4 linked regions of the Caenorhabditis elegans genome follow. The protein of the gene in region 2 interacts with the protein of the main gene of each other region in a pairwise test. Each region holds a gene or a part of one and is shown on either strand. Other genes may lie near its edges.

Region 1 (8,018 bases), on a different chromosome or scaffold from region 2:
ACGTGGGAATTTGAATTGTCCACCATGAAAACCTTCCTCGCCGAATGAAAACAAATGAACACCGTGGGGATCGAATACGCTGATTCGATGATTCGAAGAATCTGATACATACACCTGAAACGATTCAGAATGATTCATGAATCTATCTGGAATCACTCACGTGATGAGTAACTCTGCTAACTGCTATGAACAATGGACTGTTTAGTTGACCAGGTAGATGTCCGAAAGATCCGAATTTTGCAATGAATTGACCATTTTTGTCGAAGACTTGGACGCGGTGATTATCCTATAATTTAAGCTTCACTTGTATTTTAGCATGTGGGGCAATGTTTTTTAAAATTTAATCTAGATCTGCAAAGCGGACCACAATAATGTCCGGCGTCCGAATTTCCAAAAAAAAAAAAATTAAAAAATGATACTCAAAATACCGGACGTCCGGTTTGCCTGCAATATATGAATCTACAAAAACAAAGTTCTTCTCTTGATGATAATTAATAAACAAAGTTAATTTTTATCAAAATGTATACAATTATGAACTTTCGCATTACTGAGAAACGTCTCATGATAGTTGACCTACCTTATCAGCCACATAGATACTTCCCAAATCATCGACAGCAACTCCCCATGGATTATTGAACTTAGCATTTCCCTGTCCATGTCCACCGAATGAGAACAAATGATCTCCTTCCAATCCAAAAACGGAAATTCGATGATTGTACCTGTCGGATACAATAACTCGGAGCTTTGAGCTTGCTAGCCCGGCAGCTGAATCAAGTTGTCCGGCACCGGCACCGTAGCCTCCGAACTGACGAACAAATTTTCCATCTTTATCGAAAACACAGACACGATGATTAGACGAATCACAAGTTGCGACAAGACCTCCGGACAATGCACAAATTCCACGTGGCCAGTTTAACTCGCCATCCTTCGCACCTTTTCGTCCGAATACTGCACGTGGTCTACCACGAGCCCTCCATTCACCAGCTTCACGAGAAGCGCTGCGGCCACGCTGTCGCAAAACGGCAAGCTTCTCTTTCTCTTCGTCGGTTGTCGTAGAAGAGTCTAAACGAGATTGACGTTCGGCGAGAAGCTGCTGCACTCGAGCACTTGTGAACTGTGCCTGTATGTCGGGATTTGTGCGCGAGCGTTGGAAGCGTTGCCTCCGACGCTGTAACCACGCTGGCACGACGATGTCACTTTCGTCTTCCTCACCTGTGAAATGTGTGACTGGAATCGCGACTTGTTCAGATGTCCCATTGGTGATCGGAGCGGATGCCGGAAGTTGATGTTGAGGTGGCGGAACATTTATGATCGTACCAGTTCCTGGGATCATACTCATCAGTCCATCATCACGGTTTACAGATGCCGCGCGACAAACTATTCGTATTCTACCGCGGTTGGTGGATACGGGAAAATCCTCTCCCTCTGATTCTTCACTTGAAACTGCTCTTGATGCAGCTCTAGATGCATCTTGACGTTGTTGATGAGCTCTACGGATGGTTTCCACTTTCTCATTCAAAGAATCATCGTTACTGGACTGTTGACGTGGCAGAGGTGGCTTTCGGATCGGAAGTTGTGGAAGTGGAGCAGGTGATGCATCTTCAGTCCTCTCAACCCGTTCAACAGATTGTGGTGGAAGAGGAGGTTTACTAGCTGGAGATACAGTTCTTGGTGTTTCAGTATTCGGAACAATCAGACTTGTTGGCCGTGACTTGGTTGGTTCAACTGATCGGGTGACACGATCAGCAGCCCACGGCGATGTTCGTGATGAAGAGTCCGCAGTGACTGATGTAGTAAGAAGAGAAGGAGCAGCAGATGAATTACGGAGACGATTCCAAGCTTCGTCTTCCAGCTGCTGACGACGACGGTAACGAATCGAGGACTCATCAGGCTCAGGATTTCGATGACTGAAATTAAAAGAGGATAGTTTAGAGAGGGAAACTGTATGGAGAAGTAATTGTGAGATTATACATTTAATAAATTATCCAAGCTAAATTGAACTATAACTTCAATAGATTTATGTCAAAATGCCGGTGCCAAATTTAATATTCATAAAGGGCGATCAATATGTGTTTGGCCAAAAAATAACCAAAATTGGATAGTAATAAACCAACATAAAAACGCGGAAACGCTTTTACTTTTTTGTCTAGCCGTTTTTCTTCAAAAATTCGAATAAAATTTTGAAAATAATTAACTTTTAAATAGTTTTTTAAATTGTCCGTTGCCCCTTTCTTAAATATTATTATTTTTATTGGCATGGCAAATTTAGCATCTTGACACAATTCTGGCGACCTCTAAGATATTTTAATGAATAAAACATAAATTGTACTATATTTGAGTGTAAATTGCAACAATAAGCCGTTACATAGAAAACTGAAAACATGAAGTCGAGAGCCAGAGACCGGACGTAGATTCATTTTGACACCTTAACAATGTTGATTTTCTATAATTAGTGTTCTACACTATACAACTAAACTACTTGACTAAAAATCACACGTTTGTTAATAAAAAACCAAAACCAATTCCCATGGAACATACCTGTGCCTTGAAGATGTCCTATCAGCTTCTCGATCTCTCATACTTGCTCTTTCGTCAGATTTAACCCGATAACTGTCACTTTCCAATGGTAAACGGAATGGTCTTGGAAGGTATGATTGTTCAAGAGGGAGGTATCTACAAAGTATTGACTAAAGATTTTCGTTTTTTTTGAAGTTTTTGAAATATACCTTCCCGAAAATTGAGGAACTAGAACACAAAGTTCACCAGAAGTAGTGATCGCTGCTGGAAGCTTAGCAGCATCATCTCCAGCTGAGAATCGGAGTTTTCGATTAAAAAGTTCGTCGGCGTCGGGCTAAAGCATTAATACAATAAGAAATGTTCAACAATTAAATTAAAAAGTTACCTGAAAGTTCCTAAGATATTCAAGCCCTTCCGTAAACGTGTTTTTCATTCGAACAAGTTCAGAATCTTCAATTGAACATTCTCCCTGAAAATTTTAAGATTTTTTTGTTATGATATCTTTTTGAAATTCTCGATAGCTTCAAAATATTCAATGAAATCCCACCTTGATTGCAGCATCCAGTCTAGAAACTGCTTCACTCATATTAGAACTTTCAATTTCCAGAACATCACGAAGATTGCTCATATTACGAGTCTCAGTAGCTTGAAATGTATCAACTTCCATGAGAAAGTTGTCTTCCTTCTTTTTCAGATCTCTCTGGTATCTGAATTTAATTTTTTTTTCGGGTTTTTATATCTTTTCAGACAAACCTGTGGAAATATTCTTTAATTTCTGCTTTTGTTGTCTCACAGTTCATTGTCATCATATCAACTCCTTTTGATAAATTATCCGATGCTTCCGTAATTCGATTGGCAAGCCGTTTAACCTGATTCAAAAGTCGCGACATGTCTCTTTTAAGCATATCCATATGAGTCTGTCGACATTCTTTACATGCTTTTCTATCACAATGTGCACATGGTTCACAGTCTGCTTTCTCATCACAAATCTTGCACCGTTCCAAATTGTACCTGTGAATGTACTCTTCAATTTCTGCAGCCGATTCTGGTGTGGCCTGCAGATGAATCTCGAGAAACCCGGTTAATGTGTAGTTTGGCTGAAAATGAAATATTTTGCTTCAAAGTGATACTTATTTTCACACCTGAAACGCCTTTACTCCGTCATATGGAATATTGTGTTCTGCTCGACATTCTGGACATTTCAAATTGCGATGTAACGTGTCTGCACAACTTTCCAAGCATGGATAGCAAAATGTGTGTTGACAAGGTAGAAGCTTGGGTTGTCTGAAAATAGTTTAAATCTATAACTTGATATTTAAAAGTTTAGCCATTCTGTTCAGCATTTATCTCTATAAAAATCAAAGCTCAAAGTATTACATTTCAACTACCAAGTTCTTCAGATGTCCAATGTCAATATCTCACGATTTCACAACTTTAAAAAATCATAAAAAGTCTCGTTTCTCTTTCTAAATATCTTTCAAAGAGATCACGTCCAGCAGGCTTCTTCGTTTCCTCATCGGTGTAATACACACACTTTGCAGCCCCATAGCCAATGGCAAAATAGTTGAGAACTGGCGGAGAATCCGATTGAAAAGTCTTCTCTTGGCTCCCTTCTCGATTGTAAAAAAGAGAAAAGAGAAAGTAGAGGAAAAGCCGTTCGACATGGAGATAGATACAACGGTGAAGCTGTTTCGAAATACTCTAACAATGAGTTGAGAACAACTGTGTGATTGATTTTGAAGTGTTTCATTGTTAAAAAGTGGATTGCCACCAGTTGAAATATTGTCATATGATTTCTAAGATTTCGAAAAAAATTCCAATCATCTATTGAATTGAAAAAAAAAATATTTGAAACGTTTCTTTTATCGCAGGAGGTATTTTTGTGAATTTTCAATGAGCACCGGGTTATAGCCCAAAAGCTAGAGCTTTTAATCTAAAAAATTGGCAAACTTATGATTAGGAAACTTCAATAAAAACGTTGAGTTTTGAAGATAATCGCCATTGAGAAAAAATGTTTAAAAACACTCCTAGTGGGCTAAAATACTACGCCAACTCTTCTTACTCGTCTTTCTCAAAAACAAAAAGATTTATAAAAAGTTAGCAAGATAAAACTTGAGAAATTAAACTTGAGAAGACAGAACAAGAAATGGCGAGTTGAAAAATATCATAGTATTACACCTTCTAAGCTTGAAAAACTTTACCCCTACGTTCACTAAATACAATGTTTGTCATGATTGTCTGAGGTCTCGTGCAAAGTTATTCAAATTTTTTACTTTTTTTTATTTTATTTTTGAGACTATAAGTGTATTATTCAAATATTTTACAAGAAAAGGTTCTCGTTTTTAAAATGGATGTTTACATTTGTTCATCTATAACAGATCAATGAAACATCTCTTTTTTTTAATGTTCCACTTTTTACTCTGACGTAGGTTAGTCTATATTTATTGACACAAACGTTGTTGATTTAACCCAAAAATGATCCTCATTTTTAAAAGATCCCTGCAGGATCTTAGATTGTTGATTTCTCCATAACGTTCTCCTAGCTAATCATCATAACAGTCTGTCTGATTTTATTATTGTTTTGATGCACAGTGCGTAAACAACCGGATGTTTATTATGCATCCCCTAAGTCTATCTCGTTTTTTCAAAAAAATTCCCCTCAGCCAAGCGGTACTTAGCCTAGGTCATATGATAACAGTGGTCAGTCAGAAGTCACACGGCCTATGTCTATCCTTGAACTACACACTAATAGTTTGTTTTGGTTGTCCGTGGTGCTTCTTCTTTCAATTTCGTCTGCTCACTTTCAAAACGAACAGCTGATTGAGATCACAGACTTACTTGTAGCGATCGAGACAAATCGGACACGTCAGCAACTGCTCGATCTTTTCGAGAGGATTCACAAAATCAGCTGGTCGACTCGATGGTGGACGTGACATCAGCTCGCGCATCTGAAAGAATCTATGGGTCATGTGGGTTAGAGATGATTGCACTAATCAACTAATCAATGTTGTACAGGGACTTAACTTTTTCTCAAAATCAGTGGAATAACTTTTCATTTAAAAAATAAAAACGTTACTTTAAAGTTGCAATGTCTATTTGAAATAAAGAAAATTTGTACAGCACCTATAGGGAGCTTAAACGAAATATAAAAATTTTGAAAATTGACAAAAATTTTAAATTTAAGTTTTAAAACTCAAAGGACCGTTATAGGGTTACCAATATTTTTAAGATAAAAAATTTCAATGAATGTCTCTAATAATTATTTTTTGTAGATGTTTAAAGTATATTTCATTTCCAGTTGTCCACAAAATTAATTTTTAAATGTTTGGAAAACGACGAATTTAAGATTTTCTTTAAAAAAATAAATTTTTTAGAACAAACCTTTTCGCGAGCTTCTGCTTCATTTTGTGGAGAACTGCTCATAAGGATTGAATTTTAGAAATATTGGAATTTCGAATTAAAAAAAAACAGGATAGAACGAGAAGACGAATCGAATATAATAATAAAGTGGGGTGTACTTGGAGAGTTGGGGATGAGTGTGCCGAGTGCTCCCGGGAGCCAAAAAAGATTTGAGACGCAGAGAAGTTGGAGAAAGATCTGGGGAGCAACAGACGAAAGACGCCCCCAGCCATCTCCTGCAAACACAGCGGCGGCCGATATCAATCGGTGTGCGTGGGGTGCGCGGATCGGATTTTGAAAAGTTCTTGGTTGAGTCTTTTACTGGTTTTTAGGCTTTGTTTGACTATTTACTCATAAGTTTTGAAACCGATGGGAATTTGAAAAAAAGATCAATAAGATATGAGGATATGAACGGCGGGAAGATGCAGCTGGTTTGTTGGTTCTCGAAGATTATGATAACTGTCCTGAACGTTGAAATATTTGAGAAGAAATTGACAAATTGAACTTCAGTATTTATTTTCAGAAGCTTGAAAGTGTAGATTAAAATTAGGATGTTTCTTTAAAACATAAAAATAGTCCGAAATTCAAAAAACCACAAAATAAAATCGAAAAATAAACCGCAGAAAAATGGAAATTCGAACTATTAAAACCGCGATTTTGAATTCCCTCCGAAATAAAAACTTTGACCAATCAGTGATTTGCTCCGCCCACTTTTCAACCAATCAGGACGATTGTGTAGAGTTTGAAGACGTTGAGTGGTTAGAAAATGGGCGTGGCTTATACTTTTGGAAGAAGTTTAAAAATGGAGAACAGTCACAATTGAAACTTGCCTTTTTGGTTTGTTCATTCTTTTTTATTTTTGTGGTATTTTCATAACACTTTGAGTATTTTTCTTTAAAGCACATTTTTTTAAACTTTTCAGGTAATTTGACGATTTGACAATTTCCCGAAATTCCTTTTTTTGTATTTAAAATCATGATTATTTGATTTTTCAAGCGTATGTATGTACTTATTTTGTCTTTTTTGTTGGTAAACTTTTGAAACTAATGATCATATAATTTGAATAAAATCTGAAAGTTCAGCATCCTGCTCTCTATAATTACGTAATCTTCAAAACTCCCACTAACCACCTTTCGACTATTTTTCATTAAAAAAAAACCAGCGAGTGCAGTAGCTAGAAGGCGTGCGAAATTCGCTGGTTACTATGACAATCGCTTTCCGGAGGGTGGGCGGAAATAATAAAAAATAAAGCAGTTTTTGAGTTGGTTAATCTAATCACAAGTTTTGTTTGTCTATCGTCTGGTTGCAACGAAAAAGAGTAACGCGCTGGAATTTATGCAATGGCCACTTATTGCCGCTCTTTTTACTCAGTTATATCACTTTGTAATTGGAGATGGTAAGTGAAAATGAAATAGTAAACATATTACTATTTTAGTTAGTTTTGGTTTAGAGACGAAATTTCGCAAAATGTTGGATAACAATTAAATTTATAAGAAATTACTACTCTCTTCTAACTGTCCAGCTTATCTCGGTTTTTTTTGGTTTTATCAAAAATTTGTTAATTGACAAAATACGCGCTAAATATTGATCTATATTCTGAAACAGTTTTTGAAACAGTTCACTTAAGAAATCCGAAATATGAGCCGTCAAAATAGAGAAATGATGGTGCAAGTCTAATAGGGAAAAAACTGCGTTTTAAATTTTATTTTCCAATTGCCAAATGCAAAAATCTTAAATATCATTCTAATCGGTAATACTTTTGATAACTTTGAATATATCATTTACAGATTGTTATTGCCCATTATGTGAGTTGGACAAATTACCCGACAACTGCACAACAATTCATGGACATATTCAAATGGGTCTCGAGTCAACAATGCCACCGTTTGAGGTTTTATTTATTCAAAACACTATAGGATTCCAATAATTTGTTTAAGATCGTTGAATACAAGCTGGAAAATGTCACAAAAATAGTTGGATGCATAACGATAGCCAACTCTGGTTTCACAAGTCTGTCACTTTTATCAAATTTGGAAATAGTTCAGTACTCACAAACTGGAAATTCTTCTACATGTTCCTGTATGTTCTTTTTGGAAATTTTG
Region 2 (4,946 bases):
AAAATACAGATTTTTGAAATAATTTATAGAAGGATTCGGGGGGTTTTTGCTCGTAAAGACTCAAAAATGAGCTCAAATGGACGAATTTCGTAATAGAACTGCTCAAGAAATTTTCAAAATTTTGTATTTTTTATGCCGGTTCAAAATTTCGAAATATTATATAATTACACTGATTTTAGCTAAATGCTCGAACTTCGGCCATTTTTCCGTGTTCCAGCTGTCCGAAATTGACTTTTTTGGAATTGTCATCCTTTTTTTGCATATTTTGGTAGTTTATATCATTTAATTTCGTTTATTAAAGTACATTTAAAGCCTATAAGTAGCCAAAAATCATAAAAAACGGTTACCTATCGTCTTTAAATGTACTTTAACAAACGAAATAATATGAGATAAAGTACCAAAATATTCAATAAAGGACGAGAATTCCAAAAAAGTCAACTTCGAACCGCTGCGACACGGAGAAAAGGCCAAAATTCGAGATTTTAGCTAAAATCAGTGTATTTTTTCGAAATTTTGAACCGCCATAAAAAGTTTTTCAAACATTTTCGAGCAGTTTCAATACGAAGTTCGATTATTTGAGCCCATTTTTGGGGGTATACGTTCAAAATCGTCCGAAATCTTCCTTAAAGGAGGATTCGGGGGAATTTTTGCTCGTAAAAATTAAAAATGCGCCAAAATACACTAATTTTGAAGATATAATTCTCAAAATTTCTGAAAAACGGGCTAATTTCAGTTAAAATCTCCAATTTTATCAATTTTTCCGCGTTAGGACTGCTGCAATGCAGTTTTTATCGAATTTTCATATTTTATTTGATCTCACGTTATTTCGTTATTAAAAGCAAACACCAAAGATAATAAAAAATCGGATACCAAACCAAAAAAAAAATGCAATAAAGACTGTATTTATACTGTTGTAACGCAAAAAAAGGAGCAAAATTGGGGATTTTGCCTAACATCAGGTGTTTTTAATTTCGAAGATTGTCTCGCAACAGCCGGAAATCGATTTAATTCAATTATAATCATATTTTGCCGTTTTTTGAGGAATTTTCAGTCGATAGGCCCCTTATTCAGTGCCTTTGGCCTGAAAATGTATCTCAATCGGAGAAAATACGGATAAATTAAAAAGAAAATTAATTTGCGGTTGTTGTGACACCGATAAGTTGACGAAATTGGAGATTTTAGCTGAAATTAGTGAATTTTTTAAAGCATCTTGATTTTTTTCTCGTTAATTTCGGAATAAAAACCTTCGAACTCCAATATCGAATTGTTCAACGGCGCATAAAACTGAAGAAATGAAGCCTTTTCGTTTAATCATCACTTCGGCTAATCGTTCTCCTAATTCATCGGATTCTGAAGAATCGTCGTCTGTTGACAAAACGATTGCCATCGTGTCGAGCACAATTGTCATGGCTTCGGTGTTCATGCGATCTGTTTCAAGCACGTCAATGAATGCATTCATTCCCATTGTTCCGACGGCTAATCGATATTTCTGAAATTACACGTTTAATTTTAATTGTTTAATTTTAATAGTTCAAATGATTTTTTCTCTCACCTTTGCGACACCTTTCAGCCCTCTCAACGCATCTCGACGGTCTTCTGGTGCCGTACAAGTTTCTGCTCGTTCCACAAGTGTTTCTACATATTCAGCTCCATTATCCTCGTCTTCATCTTGCTGTCCGCCGCCAAAAAAGTTCCGAAACAGCGACATCTGCAAAGCTACACGTGGCAGTGAGCGGAAAATGGGATTGTCGTGTTGTTGAGCGAATATAAATGATAATTAAATGCATTTTTTAATTTAATTTATTTATTTCTAAATATTTTTCTTTATTTTCTGAATTTTAACATAAAATAAATGAAAAAAAACGGGAAAAAAAGAAGAGAAAAGTGGAAAAACCTGTCGTGGAATTGGAGGATGCGTTCTCAATGGAGCGCGCTTGCTGACTCTTTTCGGACTTCGTTTTTTCGCTTGCAGACGTTGACGGAAATTGCTCTGAAAAAAAGATCTGCTCAAAAAGTGAATAAAACAAATATTTCAATTGTTTTAATAACAAAATTTGCATATTCAACTGAATAATAATTATACTGAATTCAAGAATTTCAAAAAAATTGGAGAAAGTTTGGGAAACAGATGGAAATTTTCAATAAAATCGTCGAGAAAACATTTTCTGTCAAAATCCGGATTAAATCCAGAAAGAAGAGTACCAGCTGCCCACGAAAATTTCGGGTTTTCCCCCAAAAGAACAGTCTTGAGTCCTGACACGATCGAAACTTTTCAGCTAAATACCGTACACGTGGCTCAAGCCAGTGGTCACGGTGTTTTATTTTATACTCATACCCAACATTTTGCGATTTTTGCGCCAAAAATACGGTTCCTGGTCTCGACACGACTTTTTTTTTGTTATATTCAAACCAGGGCGCGCCTTTAAAGAGTACTGTAATTTCGAACTTTCGTTGTTGCAGGGTTTTCATCGTTTTTTCATAGTTCTTCGTTAAAAAAGGCTGTTTTTATTTTGTAAAAAACTGAAGTAAAACAATTAAAACACATAAATTTTAAGAAAAACAATGAAAAGTCGAATAAAATGCCGCAGCGACAAAAGTTTAGAATTACAGTACTCTTTAAAGGAGAGCACCCGTTTCCATGCAACGAAAAATTGTCGTTTTGAGACCAAGAACTACCGTATTTTTCGCGCAAAACACATAAAAATTGCAAAATTTCCCGTCTGGCTAATATCTTTAATAAATATAAAGCATAGATTTTTTATAAATTGACAGGCTATTTTCAAATATTAAATTAAAAAAAAACAAAAATCAGCGCTAATATGCTCAATTCAAAATTTTTTAAATTGAAAAACATTGGTTAAAAGTAGAAATAACAATAAATCAATATATTTTGCAACAACTTTACCTGAGGCAAATTGAAAAACGCATTGGAAATTGTCGTGTCACTGGAAAACGATCTAACTGAAAGAGTTGATCCGGTAATTGAAGACGTTGAATAAGCGAACATTTCGATTGAATAAAACTATCGGCTCAGAGAGTGTTAGAGTGCGTAAAAGTGTAATGTAGGAAGAGGGCACATTGAGTGAGTTGATCGGGAGAGAAAAGTGAAGAGAAAACGGATAGAATAACAGAATACTGTTACTTCAAAATGTTTTGATTACGGGTAATGTATACATTTCGATATATATTAGCTTTCAGGCAAATCAACAAATTACTGGAATTGAAATTTCTGGCAAACTTTATTTTATTTTATTTCAATGTGTTTCAATGTTCAAAAAAAGAAAAATTTCCGAATATACTTCAAATATAATTCAAATAAATGCCCAAGTTAGAGTACTCAGATAAATCGAACCACGCAGGCACCGCTCCAAACCACGCAGGTGACTGCCCACCACGCAGTCAACGCGTCAAGACCACGCAGGCAACCAAAAGCACGCAGGTGACGCCTAGGAACCACGCAGGCGACTTGACGGTGGGCAGCTATTGGCAGTGGCTGCAAAACCACGCAGGTGACGCCTACATACCATGCAGGCAGCCAACGTTCAGCCACGCGCGGGATTCCTAGGCCAATGGCTGCGTACTCCTCTTGGACAACTTTTTCTTCTATTTTTTTTTCCTAATTTAATGGAATTTTCCGTTTTTTTTCTTGCAAAAAGCACTTTTATATTAATTTTCAATTTCTTCATGAAACTCAATAATTGTTTTCAGGTAAATATGTCAACCCCGGCCCGAAAAACCCCAAAAGGAGGCCGAAAGCGGCGTGGCAATGGACTGGAGGCGCCGCATTCGATTGGTCGCTTCAACGTAAGATAAACTTTATTTTTAAAAAATATATAGCAACAAAATTTCAGAAAAAACCTTCGGAATCGTTCGTTCGAACTATGGACTGGGATTTCAAAGAGCTTAGGAAAATCGCGGAAAATTCCAAGTCAAAGGTGAACAGAAGTTTGGCAGCTGCACAAATTCTCCAAATCCAGATGTAGTTAAAATAGTTCACTTTTCAGACAATTCCTCCAGAGCTCCTCCACACCTTCAGTGTCCACCCAAATTCGGTGAATCATCAGATTCTTCAAGGAAGACTTCTCAATTGTCCTATCAGTAAGCTATTCTTGTCCAATTTTTTTTTAAACAAAAATTTTCAGGCGTTCTTCACAATATTCTACATGTTGTAGCCGGATTCGAAGGACAGTTCCCGAGTGCGGATTTTGGCGATGTTTTCTCCCGACAGGTGGATCAAAAATGGTAAACACCCTTCTATCAATTTGTATTTCCAAAAATCAATAATATTGCAGCTTGAACGCACGGAAAAAGATGAGCCAGGAAAAGGACACACCATCACACTGATCACTGGGACGAAAACAACTGCCTAATGGACTTAATTTTGTTTCCCACCTTTTTTTGTTGTTATTTTTGAGATTTTCGTACTTTGCGTTTTAGATGGTTAAACGGTAGGAAGGGGAAGGAGCGGGCTGCGAACTGCCATTGCTGCAAGACCACGCAGGTGTCGCCTCCAAACCACGCAGGCAACGCGTTGAAACCACGCAGGGACTGGCATTCTTGAGCGTGGTTTGTACGCGTTGCCTGCGTGGTTTGGAGCGGTGCCTGCGTGGTTCGGTTTATCTGAGTAGTAAATTTTAAGGTCTTTCAGCATATACCAATAATATTCCAGTAGGTACAAGAAGCTTCACGTAGTTACAGAAATAGTACATTTTCAGCCCTACCTTTTAGTGCGTATTTTATTATTTAATGAAAACTACCATTTATAGGCAAAAATAGATGAATTTTCCAAACTTTGAAAATTCATAAATCTTTTGAAAGTAACTTTTTTTGAAATGTCTTTCAGAAACTTTGTAGTAAATTTTAAGCTCTTTCAGCATATACCAATAATATTCCAGTAGGTACAAGAAGCTTCACGTAGTTACAGAAATGTTTTATTTAATTATTTA
Region 3 (6,579 bases), on a different chromosome or scaffold from region 2:
TCAAAGTCTGAATTTTCAGAAACCAGAGTCCAAAAAGTCAGCGGAAAAGCTTTCGAAAAAATCGGACAAAACCAAGAAAAAGACGACAGTATCGAGTGAGGATAAGCCTGAAAAACCGGAAAAATTGACCGAAGAGGAGAAGCCGAAGGAAAAGGAAAAAGCGAAGGAGAAGACTGTTCCAGTTCAATCGAAGCTTCGCGAGGGCGACAAGGTAAGCTGAGAATTTTTGGAAAATTGGGCTTATATGAGGTCGCCGCAACGACGCCGGCGCCGGACTCACTCATGCCGCATGTATCCGTATGTATAGTGCGGCGCGGAACTGGGAATGTGGCTACCGCTTTTTTTCAAATAACAATCTTTTCTCACTACATTGAGTACACACCAAACGACTCGTTTCATTTACTAGCGTGCTCATTTACTTGAAATCCCTAACAATGGCTCAATCCCTTTGACGCTCATTTACTAATGTTTTCGCCACAAAACGTCATAAAGGTTGGATGGTAAAATTGTAAACATACCAACTATGCTGATATATCAGCATACTTGGTACATCGTTAATGTTACTTACATCCATTTCTCTGTTAGTAAGGAGATGTTATCTGTTATCTGGCTTGCACAAAACAAATTGGACAAAAGAGAGATGTCCACAAAGCGACGCCGACTCCTAAAAAAATCAGGGAGACAATACCGCGGTCTGCGTATCTCCACAGGCTCACCTGCTAGATGGCAATCAACCAGCGTTCAAGTAAATGAAAACACTAGTAAATGAGGGCTTGCCTGAGCATAGTTTTCCGGTCAAATTAAACATCTTAAACCTTCATAACTTAGCGTTGAATTTTCAGAACGCGGTTGTCACAGATCCTATTGTCACACCTGAAACGGACGAGTACCCCACACTTGAAGAGGATGGCGATAAGAAGACGGAGAAAAAGACTTTCAAGAAGGATAAGACTGATAAAAAGAAGTAGACTAGTATGTGGAATAAATGATTTTTGATATTAAAAATAAAATTTCTTTGACGAAAAATGTTCTCCTCGACATTTTATTGGTTTTCAACTTTTTTCTATTTTCCGGCAAATTGGCAAATCTCGAAATTGCCGGAATTTGCTGGAATAACGGCAATTGCCGAAAATTTTCGGAAAATTGTTGTTTTGCACTTTTTTTTGTAAATTCCAGTTTCATTGGCAAACCGAAAAATCGGCAAACCGGAAAATTGCCGGAATTGAAAATTTTCGGCAATTAAACAAACCGGCTAATTGCCAAAATTGAACATTTCCGGCAAATCGGCAAACCGGCAATTTGCCGATTTGCCGAATTTGTCGACGAAAAAATTGCCGCTCGCCCCTGTTGTCGACCTACATAGGTCTGGATACCTACAAAGTTCCCACTAGTAGTACTAATAAAAGGGGAGGTAGAAGATGAGATTAACGATTTCCTGAATTCCATCTCAAGCTGTCTCGCGTTAATTATGCACCACACCCTACCCTTTTATTTCGTAATCTCTCCCTCCGAGCCACCCATCTTCACCAACAACTACTACCACCTGCCGTACGTTTCCATAACAACCTGGGCCTCACTCCTGTCAAACTCTTTTTCTCGGATTGCTCTCTCTCTCCCGCTTTTTGTGTTCTACTCAATTTTGAGAACACATTTATTTCGGAAAATAATATTTCTGAAGACATGCTCTAGAAGTTTTTGACGGCAGTAGTAGTAGTCGTATATTTCCTGTAAGTTTTTGAATTTGTATGTTTTTTTTTGTTGCTGGTTTCAAACAATTTTTGTTTTCAAACGTATTTATTTTAAAAATACGCATGTAAATTTCCTGCAAAATCTTTTTTGTCAAAAATTAAAAATTTATCTTCAAGATATATGTTTTGTATTGAAAAATTTGAATTCAAATTTCTCTTTGGAAAAATTTCAGCAAATTTGTGTTCCGTAGTGACGTTAAAAGTTGTTAAAATGCAAATTTTTTCAAAAAAATTTAAAATTTTCCATTTTAATTTCCTTCATACATTTTTTGGAAATTATTTGACTTTTGCGCCAAAATTTATTAGTATTATAGGCTTACAATTAGGATTAGGCTTAGGTTTTTCACCAGAGGAAATTATTGAAAAATAAAAAAAAACAACGTAGAACAAATTTCACCAAATTTTGAATCTTTGTTGAAACTACCACAATTTGAAATAAAACAAACTCATTAAAAAAATGGTTCCAGATTTCCCCATGGAAAATCCACAACTTTCGTATATTTCCTAGCATTTCCTTCCTAATATTCCACAAAATGGCTCCACCGAAAGATCCACCAGTGCTGAGGAATCTACAAGCCACAGCGGACTTGCTAGACGCTCTTCAAAATGTAAGTTCAGCTTCTCTTACAGTACCTCAAAAAATTCGTTCCAGGACCCATCATTACTCAACGATGAGGAGTTCATCAAGCGTCTCTCAATTTTGCGTCAAAAACACGAGGAGACCACCAACTTCCTTGCCAAGAAGCTCGGCGCCCCACCGTTGCCAACTATGATGACGTCATCAGAAATTACACAGCATAGGTCGAGCTATAAGGTGACAAAATCTTCGAGTTGTCATTTTCAAGATGAAGCTTCTCCTTCTGACTATCAAATGCCACGTCATCTAGATCTGAAACCGAGATCTTCAGAAGTGAGAGTCCCTGTTCGGGCCGCACCGGAGCCTCCGAGGGAGCAGTCTTGGAGTCAAACTGAGTATGCCACGTTGGCTCACAATCAAAGCCACGAGGCACTTTATGAGGATCCACGTCATCAGGTTCATGCTACATCATCCCATCAGAATCCACGTCATCAAAGCTCTCGGCACCACAATATCGAATCTACAGCACCATCACAGGTCTCTGTTACGTCATCAGTCCAAAGTGTAGCGGCTTTATCTGGCCAAAATCCTCGTCAGCAGGTTCATGCTACGCCATCCCATCAAATTCCACGTCATCAAAGCTCTAGAACCCACCAAAATTCACGTCAACAGGTTCCGAGTGCTACATCATCAACTCTCCAAAATCCACGTCATCGAACATCCAGCGCGTCACGTCATCATTCGACAAGAAATGCCACGTCAGCAACAGTCCGGCAAATTTTGGCAAACGCATCGACCCGGCACCTCAGCTCCGCACCACACATCGCCACTTCCGTCGCCATGCCATCAGGGTTACTGTTATCTTCTAGTAATACGAAACACGTGGCATCTTCTAAGTCAGAAAATCCACAATTTGCCACGTCATCACACGTTGTTGAGGAGAGTTTTTTAGAGGACGGAATGTCAACGACACGGGAAGTTCCAACAATTCGGGATGAAGTTGTAGCGGGCGACTTAAAGCTTTCTAAGAATCGATCCAAGTCTATGCATCAGCTATCAAAGTATACACCACAGGTTACCGTACCGAAGCCGTTTCAGTTGAGCTTGAGGTAAGTAGCTTACAAGGGAAGTATTTCAACTTAGTTGCGGACTTCTGGATGTAACCTAAACTATAATTTTTTTTCAGAAAATCCACTGGAAATACTTACGCAAAAAAGTTCATGAGCGGCCTAATTACGGAAAAGCAAAAACTTGAGGAGGACGCCAAGAAAGCATTGGAAAACACAAAATTTCGGGCAAAACCTGTCCCCAAATCAACATATCAGCCTACAAATACATTTGCGACGGAGCAAAAATACGTAGAAGCCATGAGGAAAAAGGTGGCGGCGAAGGCTCGGAGGAAGTTTGAAGTTCAGAATGAAATGGTCCGATCGAAGAGTGAAGGAAATTTGGGTATGGTTTTTACATTGAAACTAGGATTTCTTGCAAAGTTTTAGGAAAACTGTTTTTTTTGTTGGAATAAACCGGAAAAATTACTAGCTTTTCTCATAGTCAGCTATTTAAATTTTAAAGGAACATTATGAAATTGATTATTGCCTACCGCAAATTAAATGTTGAATTCAAATTCAAAAAAAAATACCATTCCAAATTTTTTTACAGCTTCAATAAAACCTCTCGGGTACGTACCTCCATCAACATATATCTCACCAATTCCAGTGAAACCAAATGCCAGAAGCCGCAGTGCAACTATGAGAGCGACTATTCTTATTCAAGAAGCTACTACTCCAAAGGGAATTAAGGTAAACAAAATTAGAAATTTTGAACAATTAATAATTTTATTTAGAAACAAAAATTAAAAAAATTTAATGTTTTGGTTTAGAAATTTAGTTTTGTTTCATCTATATTCATCTACAAATTCGTTGTCAGAATATTCAACATTCCAGAGCCACCGAGCCCAGTCAAACCTAACCCATCACCTACGTCACGGGCGGTGCACTATGGACGCCTCCGCCGTCTCACTACACCGGCGGACTTCGCCACCGGATTTTGAGAAAATCCATGCAAAAGTGAGTCTAAAAATTAGTTATTTAAAAAAAAGTTGAGTGAAATTTTAAATTTTGGTAAAGTTTCAGAAAACCCAAATAAGTAGTTCTTTTTTGTTATTTCGTTTTTTTTGGAGCATAAAAACTATGTATTTTGCAAATTCTATGGATGCATGCTAATTTTCTACGTGGCACGATATTGCCTGGTAGGCACGTATTGGGGCTCAGAGTAGGCGTAGGCCGCCTTGAAGACAAATAGGTGATTATATAATTTTTTTTCCAGATCACCGATAACTTTCGTAACACAAATTCAAAACCCTCCACTGTGCCGATACCTTTCAAATTCGCATCCAGAAGTAAATCAGCAACTTCGAGACACGGAAATTGTCAAGAACAGGCTCCAAAACCATTCAAAAAATCGACTGAAAACTTGCCGAAAACCTCGAAAAATCGAGTGCCCAGCACTCACGCAACACAACTTCGCGAGGAGCTCAACCGAGCAAAAATTGAGCTGAAAAAGTCTGAAAAATCGGGAAAAAACGGGAATTTCTGGGCTGAAGATAATAAGCAGAGGATTTCCTCGTTTTTGGGAGCACGGAGCAAAACTGAGGAGGATATTGCGATGAGGACAAAGCAGAAACTGTAAGACTTGTTATTTTTAAAAAATATTATCAAAATTTGAAAATCGTTGAGGTTTGTCAAATTCAGCAAAAAAAACATTTTTCCAGAAAACGGGCAGACGCATAACCGGTCACTCCCTCAAAATGGTTTGAATTTCAAAAAAAAAAGAGAGAGACACAGACAGCGTGTCGCTCTGCCTGTCTGCGTCTCTTTTTCTCATGTTCTTTTTTTTTAATGTTAAAACAGTTTCCTGATTTTCAGGCAACAACAGCAGGAAACAACTCAAGAATACATGAGGCAGCTGGCCGAGATGAAGCAGAGGTTAGTTTGATAATTTTCGGAAGTTTTGAAAACCTTCCAAAAATTTCAGAGTGCTCAACGGCCCGCTAATCATGGAAAAACAGACGGCCCTGGCGCAGGAGCACCGTCTAAAACGAAAATTTGAGGAACGCATGAAAAGCGCCAAGGGGCGAGGTATAGAAAGGGTCCAAAGCCAGGAAAAGCAGCAATCAATCGGGAGAAGAAGCTCAGAAGTTAGTGGAAGTGGAACTTTTGTGGTTGACAAGGGTTATGAAGAGAGTTTTGAGTCGGAAGACAAGTCTGAAAAGTCTGGAAGTTCCACGCCATCTGAGTCTGGAAGTGGTTCTGAATCCGAGAATGAATCCAGGTCATCAAGAAGCTCAAAGCCAAAAAGTTCAAAATCAACGTCTTCAAAATCTTCAAGCTCACGATCCACTTCATCTTCCTCGGAAGCTTAAATGCTTGTTATTTTCTTTCAATTGACTAGGCTTTTAGCAGTTTTTATTTCAAAGAGTTTCAGCATTTTCCAAAAAATCGAAATTTTGTAAGACTTTTTTTCCGTTTGACCGCTCCTTTTTTGGTTCTTAACTCAAATTAGGTGCTTTTTTTTAATTTCTTGGGTAAAATTTTCGAAATTTGTTTTTTAATATAAAATGATTTATTGTAAAATGCTGGAGTTTCAGTTTTTCTTGAGTAATTTTAAGATGTGATTTCTTTGCGATTTATGAACAAATTGGTGATTTTTATTCAGTTTTATTTTTTAATAAATTCTCCATAAAATTAAAGTTCATTTTTGAAGTCCACCAAAATTGTTTACAATTTTTTAATTCATAATTTTAAAAAATGTTGAATTTCACGCCAGATCTCGAAGAATTAATGATATTAAACTTTTATAGAAGTTACGATTAATTTGATTCAAACATTATGTGAAGTGGAAACTATAAAGAAACTATGTATCAAATTATATATATGAAATTAATATTAAATTCTTATTTTTAAACGTTTTAAATGAAAGATTGACAAAAATTAATTGGAAAAATCATGACTGGAAAATAAGTTGATCCCTCTGGCAAATCACGCCGGCAATGTAGGTTGGCAAAAGTTCGCAGATGAACACTTTTTCCGGAATGTCAGTGTCGAACATTTGTAATTCCTTGTCTGGGAACTCACTGAAAATTTGATATCAATGATTTTATTTTAAAGCCAAAAAGATTCACTAACGAAATGTCGTATTCCCAGTCGGGAACATGCTGGAACTTCCTGAATTGCGGCTGCACATCATATAGCTGCA
Region 4 (4,794 bases), on a different chromosome or scaffold from region 2:
TGGAGTTTTTGGTGTTTGACCTTTAGAATATTTATTACAGAGTTTTAATAAATCAAATTGTCTATTGTATGTAGTTTTTTTTTTGGTTTTACATTTACTGATTATTAGATTAAAATTAAATAATTCAATTTTGAAAATTCAGAAAAATAGTTTTGACATCCTCTACTACCTTTTTTTCTCATTTTATCTTTAAAAAATTAATTCAGGGCGATCATTCCCGCCAAATACGGACATGAATCCCATTTGGTTACCAAAAAAGTGCGGCGGCTGTCGTTGAAAATAAAAAAATCCAAAAAGTGGGAAAACGACATCTTCTGTTCACTCATGCGTACAGAATCTCCAAAAACATTTCGCCGTATTCATTTTTGGCGTGATGTACCACATATGACTTGGTCCAGATAAAGGTACTGGTGTAAATTTGTCTGTTGTGTAATCGGCATTTGACGCTAGCTTCTTGCCCAAGTTTGGCAAAAAATTTCAACTTGAATCACAACACGATAAGCTTGGTTTGGACTGTGTTTAAGTTTACGCCAAGTTTGATCCAAATAACAGTTTTTAAATAATATTTTTTTTAATTTTTGGGAAAAACGCAGGTAACGCCAAATGCCAAGTATAATTATTTTTAGACAACCGTCTAAAATTTGGAAAATATATTTTTAATACAAAAAATCTTACTCCGAGATTGATAAATGTGGAAATTTTGTAAACTACGATAAAAAATGCAAATTATTCTTAGTGTGTCAATAAAATTTTTCTATTTACTTTTCACAGTCCCAGTACTTGTTTCCTGCCAGATTTTCTCAAATAGGACTGACACCTGAAGCGGAATAATTTGCTATTTGACTTCCGAGCCCTCGAATTCTGGCGGGCGGTCCAACAAGAAGAACCCTCAATATTCCGTTAGTTATTTGTCGTCTCTGAAGACTTTATTGTCGGATGCAGCGATACCGTAGTCCGAAGAAAAGAATAGAAGAAACTGACAATGAATGGAGAAGTGGAGTAAAGCCAGCTACAAGCAGGGCAGAAAATATAAATGAATAAGTAAAGAAATCAGTTACAGAAAAGTGACATTAAATTTTTTCCACGTATCAAATTATGAAAATTATTCATAGCGAGGTTTTTTAAATGTTTAATTTGCAGTTACACTGCTTGAATCCGAATATCGATGCGGTTGCATTAATATTTATGTATAAGGAATCATCAAAAATAAAAGCAGTAGCTGATTAAAACTTATTTTTAAATCAGATATGTGGTGCATCTCCTTTTCAGAAACCAAGTAGTTTTGTTCGATCTGTTAAATTCTGTTAATCACAATGGTTCAGAATGTCTGTAAACATGCTTAGAAAACTAATGAGGTCGGTGGAGCAGAAAGTCTGTGAAAACTTCTAATTGGAATCAGGTGCTGGCAGTGAAATCACAAAATATCTTGGTCTGTACACCGGGCAAGAGCATGCCTACACCCCGCGAGTTTGGCATGGCTAATCCCTTGTTTGACAGATGTTCAGGGGGAAGGAGCTACCACTGAATAGTTTCCACGTGAGTAGAAATTGATTCATGTTCATAACATTGATGGCAATGTATTCGAGAAACAATGCCCATCTGCCACAAGTTGCAAAAGGTAGATTGTGAATAAAGCTGCGCATAATCCATAGAGAATATGAATGAAAACTCCGCCCATTTCAAAGAAGACGATTGGCCCGAGAATAGAAGCAAAAAGTCAGCGGTGTCCTAGGTGAGACAACGGAGAAAACGTGTCCGGGCGCGGCTCTTTTCAATTGTGGACCGAGAGGGAGAGACGTCGACGTCTTCTTTTTATGTCACACTATATCGTTGAAATAGTTTCGCGCTTTTTTGTTCTGTCCCCCGAAAGTTTGTTGGACAGTTAGATACTGAGGATCTCTTATTCTAACACTTCCAATATCTACACTTACACTAAATTTTACGCTACACAACACCAAAATCCGCGAGTATTCAAATAGTGACGGTCGAGTTGACAAAAGTGAACGTGGTGAGTTAAACTCTTGTTGGGTAATGAGTTAGCAGAAAATCAATAAGATGGCGAGCACTTTCAGATGGGCGTGCTAATGAGGTGGGCATGGGCTAGAAGTAAGAACTACCCTTCTTCGTCGGCATATATTTTCTCATTTCAGTCTGTTGCCTTTCTGCTGATTATCATTAGACTTTCTTGTTGAGTAGATAAATTTTGATGCCTCATTGACAATCATAAATAATAGAGAAACAATCGATATTGTCATAATGATAACAAACTAAGTAGGAATAATGTAGAACTGGTTATATTTTGAATAATTTCAAAACTCTTTGGTCTTTAGGCTAAATATAGAAACCGAGTCCTTCTCGAAACATTGATGTCGTGGGCTGCTATCATGTGTCTCCTATGACTTCAAACTTTTCTGAAATTACGTTACCTAATTTTTTTGAGCTTTCATGTTGTATCACAAAAATTTTTCATTCTGCTATAATTTTTCACAGATAATTGTTTGGTTCTAAATTCTGGGCAAAGTTTCAGAATATATTTTGAACTTTAGAACTGAATTCTTGAGCATTTCTGATTTAAAAAATCTTTTTGAACTTTTGCTACAACTTCTTTTCTCTACCATAAAATGTTTTCAATCTTGTTCGATGCTTCTACAAAAACTCCAACATCAGGAGCCATGCTTTCTCCTCCCACTTATGTTATTCATTGTGTATGTACATCCGCATGTGTCCATCATTGACTCCAAATTCCATTAGCCATCTACCGTATCTGGATTTCCGGTGTGTGACGCCGACTCCATGGCCAACACAGAATCATCGTAATTCTCCCCGCAATCTACATATCGCTACTCCAATTTTCGAATTTTGCCCCGTGTTGCAATTCCAATGCATTCAATCAAATTTAAAAGTTTTGATGATTTGTCTACTCATTTTTCCCACCCGTTCCGTTTTCTCCATGTTCAACATTTTTGTCGCCACCACCATCACTGAGAGGGGTTTTTGTAATTGGCTTGAATTGACACCCATTAACCGGCACACCCGCTGTTTGGAAGATGTCATAACGAAAACGTCGTTTGATGGAGGTCTTTGTCCGCGCCTTGTTTCCCTGTCCCTATAGTTGAAGGTGTTCGCCATCAGGCACCACTACTTTTTTGGCGCCCCTCTCTTTTTCTCTCTCGTCAGTGTCAAACGAGTAGTTGAAAATTGTGCTATTCCAAATTACATGGAGCCCCACTCCTCTGACCCGAAAGCCTTTCCATCAAATTTCGTTTTAGTAGATCTTTTTAACTTGTCATTATGCTCCTTTGGATAAACGATTTGGCTCACAGGCAAAGCATTTTCAACTGTGGGGACATTCCGGAAACACTTAGCCAATTGATAATGACAGTCCATCGATGAGTTATAAGATATGTTATCAGATGTACAAATCTGACACCCATACAACAGTCCTCACCTCGCTCTCGTCGTCATTCAGTTGCCAAAATCGTCATGCCTACTTCCAATTATGCAACTTTATCTTACGGGAAAATCTAATAACTTTTGCATTTCAGCTATGGCACACATGTTCAAGACATATTTTTAAAAAGTGAAAAGGTTGTCGGGAATATATAAAGATAAGGTATTGAAACTTTGGAAGCCCACGTTGAGACACTGTAAATAAACATTCACATTCACAATTTTTATCGTAGTCACTAATGTCTTGTTCCTTTAAAAAACATTTTCAATTTGCGGATTACAGAGGAACTAACTTCAAAAATTAAAAAAAAATCATTGAAAACGTTTTCTAGAATTACTTTTATTGAGTTAGAAAAGTAGAATCATGCGCAAAGTTTTTAAATTGATGTGCAAGAAAAAATTATCTTTAAGCCTAAAAAGCAAAATCCAATTTACGACACTTCCAAACGACAGTAAAAATTTTAAAAATTCAAAACTTCTCTTTTTATTTTTATCCGCAATCTTTGAATCACCAAGACCACTATTATGAGCAACTTCAAACAAAAAAGTTTATGAGTTCAGATGTAGTTCGAGATACTGAGTCATGAGCCTTCTCCTTTTCGTTCTCAAGATTTTGATCTCCTCAAACCGAGCTGGGTCCATTTCTACAGCATTGTTCTATTCTTTTGTCAAATTGGCTTTTTTAACCCTTTCTTACCTGCCGAGGCCTTCTTTGTTACCTTCCGATCACCACATCTCGACGGTCCTCCCCTCTTTATCTTACTTGCTGCTAATTACGTGTTCTCGTCAGTCGGCTCCAGGCCCGGATTAACTTTGACTACAAAACATATGTCGTTTGTGTTGTCTCGCTGCTGCATCAATTCTGGGTCAATAATTTGTGATTAGCTACCACCTCCGGTCTAATTAAGGGCTCCACAGGTTGAGGCAGCTCACCTTCTGTTGTTCTTGTTTGGTAATACCAAAGCATCTATGTAGTTAGACTTTTGTAAAAGATTATGAATCAGTGAATCAGTACTTGCAGACAACTGAAAAAGAGTACATGCTTACTTTGACGTTAATGGAACTTCTAGAAGTATCAGATAATGTATTAGAAAATAGGTACCTGATTATCATATGGGCCAGTGACTCGGAGACGAGTGATAAAGTATCACATGTAACTGAGCATGTAGTACATGTACCCTAGAAATCCCACCTTCCATCTCACCTTTTTCGGGTCTTACTTCTGTTATTCTTTTTTAGTTTCCATAATTCACTCAAAACCGCTCATTACCATTACCACATTACTACTTCTCCGCTATATGCATTTGATATTAGACACCAACTATTGTGACCGGTGTCTTCAGT

Evidence for each region.
Region 1: the proteins of uso-1 (region 2) and nhl-1 interact in a two-hybrid assay, tested with the Caenorhabditis elegans proteins (2 studies listed by BioGRID).
Region 3: the proteins of uso-1 (region 2) and famh-161 interact in a two-hybrid assay, tested with the Caenorhabditis elegans proteins (2 studies listed by BioGRID).
Region 4: the proteins of uso-1 (region 2) and vab-3 interact in a two-hybrid assay, tested with the Caenorhabditis elegans proteins (2 studies listed by BioGRID).

What each region holds. Positions count from the first base shown.
Region 1 is NC_003281.10:9,147,865-9,155,882, forward strand, and holds the start of nhl-1 (RING finger protein nhl-1), read right to left. Parts: upstream 6,039-8,018; 5' UTR 5,941-6,038; coding exon 5,899-5,940; intron 5,466-5,898; coding exon 5,356-5,465; intron 3,802-5,355; coding exon 3,660-3,801; intron 3,615-3,659; coding exon 3,271-3,614; intron 3,225-3,270; coding exon 3,065-3,224; intron 2,987-3,064; coding exon 2,903-2,986; intron 2,852-2,902; coding exon 2,727-2,851; intron 2,674-2,726; coding exon 2,539-2,673; intron 1,908-2,538; coding exon 578-1,907; intron 287-577; coding exon 161-286; intron 115-160; coding exon 1-114. Other genes in the region: Protein irld-34, read left to right, coding at 7,252-7,312, 7,704-7,807, 7,854-7,995.
Region 2 is NC_003282.8:13,451,792-13,456,737, forward strand, and holds the start of uso-1 (Uso1_p115_head domain-containing protein), read right to left. Parts: upstream 3,008-4,946; coding exon 2,906-3,007; intron 1,991-2,905; coding exon 1,895-1,990; intron 1,709-1,894; coding exon 1,553-1,708; intron 1,490-1,552; coding exon 1,245-1,489; intron 1-1,244. Other genes in the region: Y38H8A.7 (uncharacterized protein), read left to right, coding at 3,715-3,804, 3,852-3,935, 4,005-4,098, 4,143-4,242, 4,293-4,344.
Region 3 is NC_003283.11:20,529,190-20,535,768, reverse strand, and holds famh-161 (Protein fam-161), read left to right. Parts: upstream 1-1,596; 5' UTR 1,597-1,727; intron 1,728-2,215; 5' UTR 2,216-2,281; coding exon 2,282-2,356; intron 2,357-2,400; coding exon 2,401-3,434; intron 3,435-3,511; coding exon 3,512-3,777; intron 3,778-3,984; coding exon 3,985-4,124; intron 4,125-4,268; coding exon 4,269-4,391; intron 4,392-4,650; coding exon 4,651-5,009; intron 5,010-5,249; coding exon 5,250-5,309; intron 5,310-5,358; coding exon 5,359-5,746; 3' UTR 5,747-6,073; downstream 6,074-6,579. Other genes in the region: Y38H6C.15 (uncharacterized protein), read left to right, coding at 20-211, 843-968.
Region 4 is NC_003284.9:10,498,098-10,502,891, forward strand, and holds the start of vab-3 (Paired box protein 6 homolog), read left to right. Parts: upstream 1-1,792; 5' UTR 1,793-2,008; intron 2,009-2,140; exon of another isoform or gene 2,141-2,196; intron 2,197-2,990; exon of another isoform or gene 2,991-3,097; intron 3,098-4,032; exon of another isoform or gene 4,033-4,138; intron 4,139-4,473; exon of another isoform or gene 4,474-4,614; intron 4,615-4,794.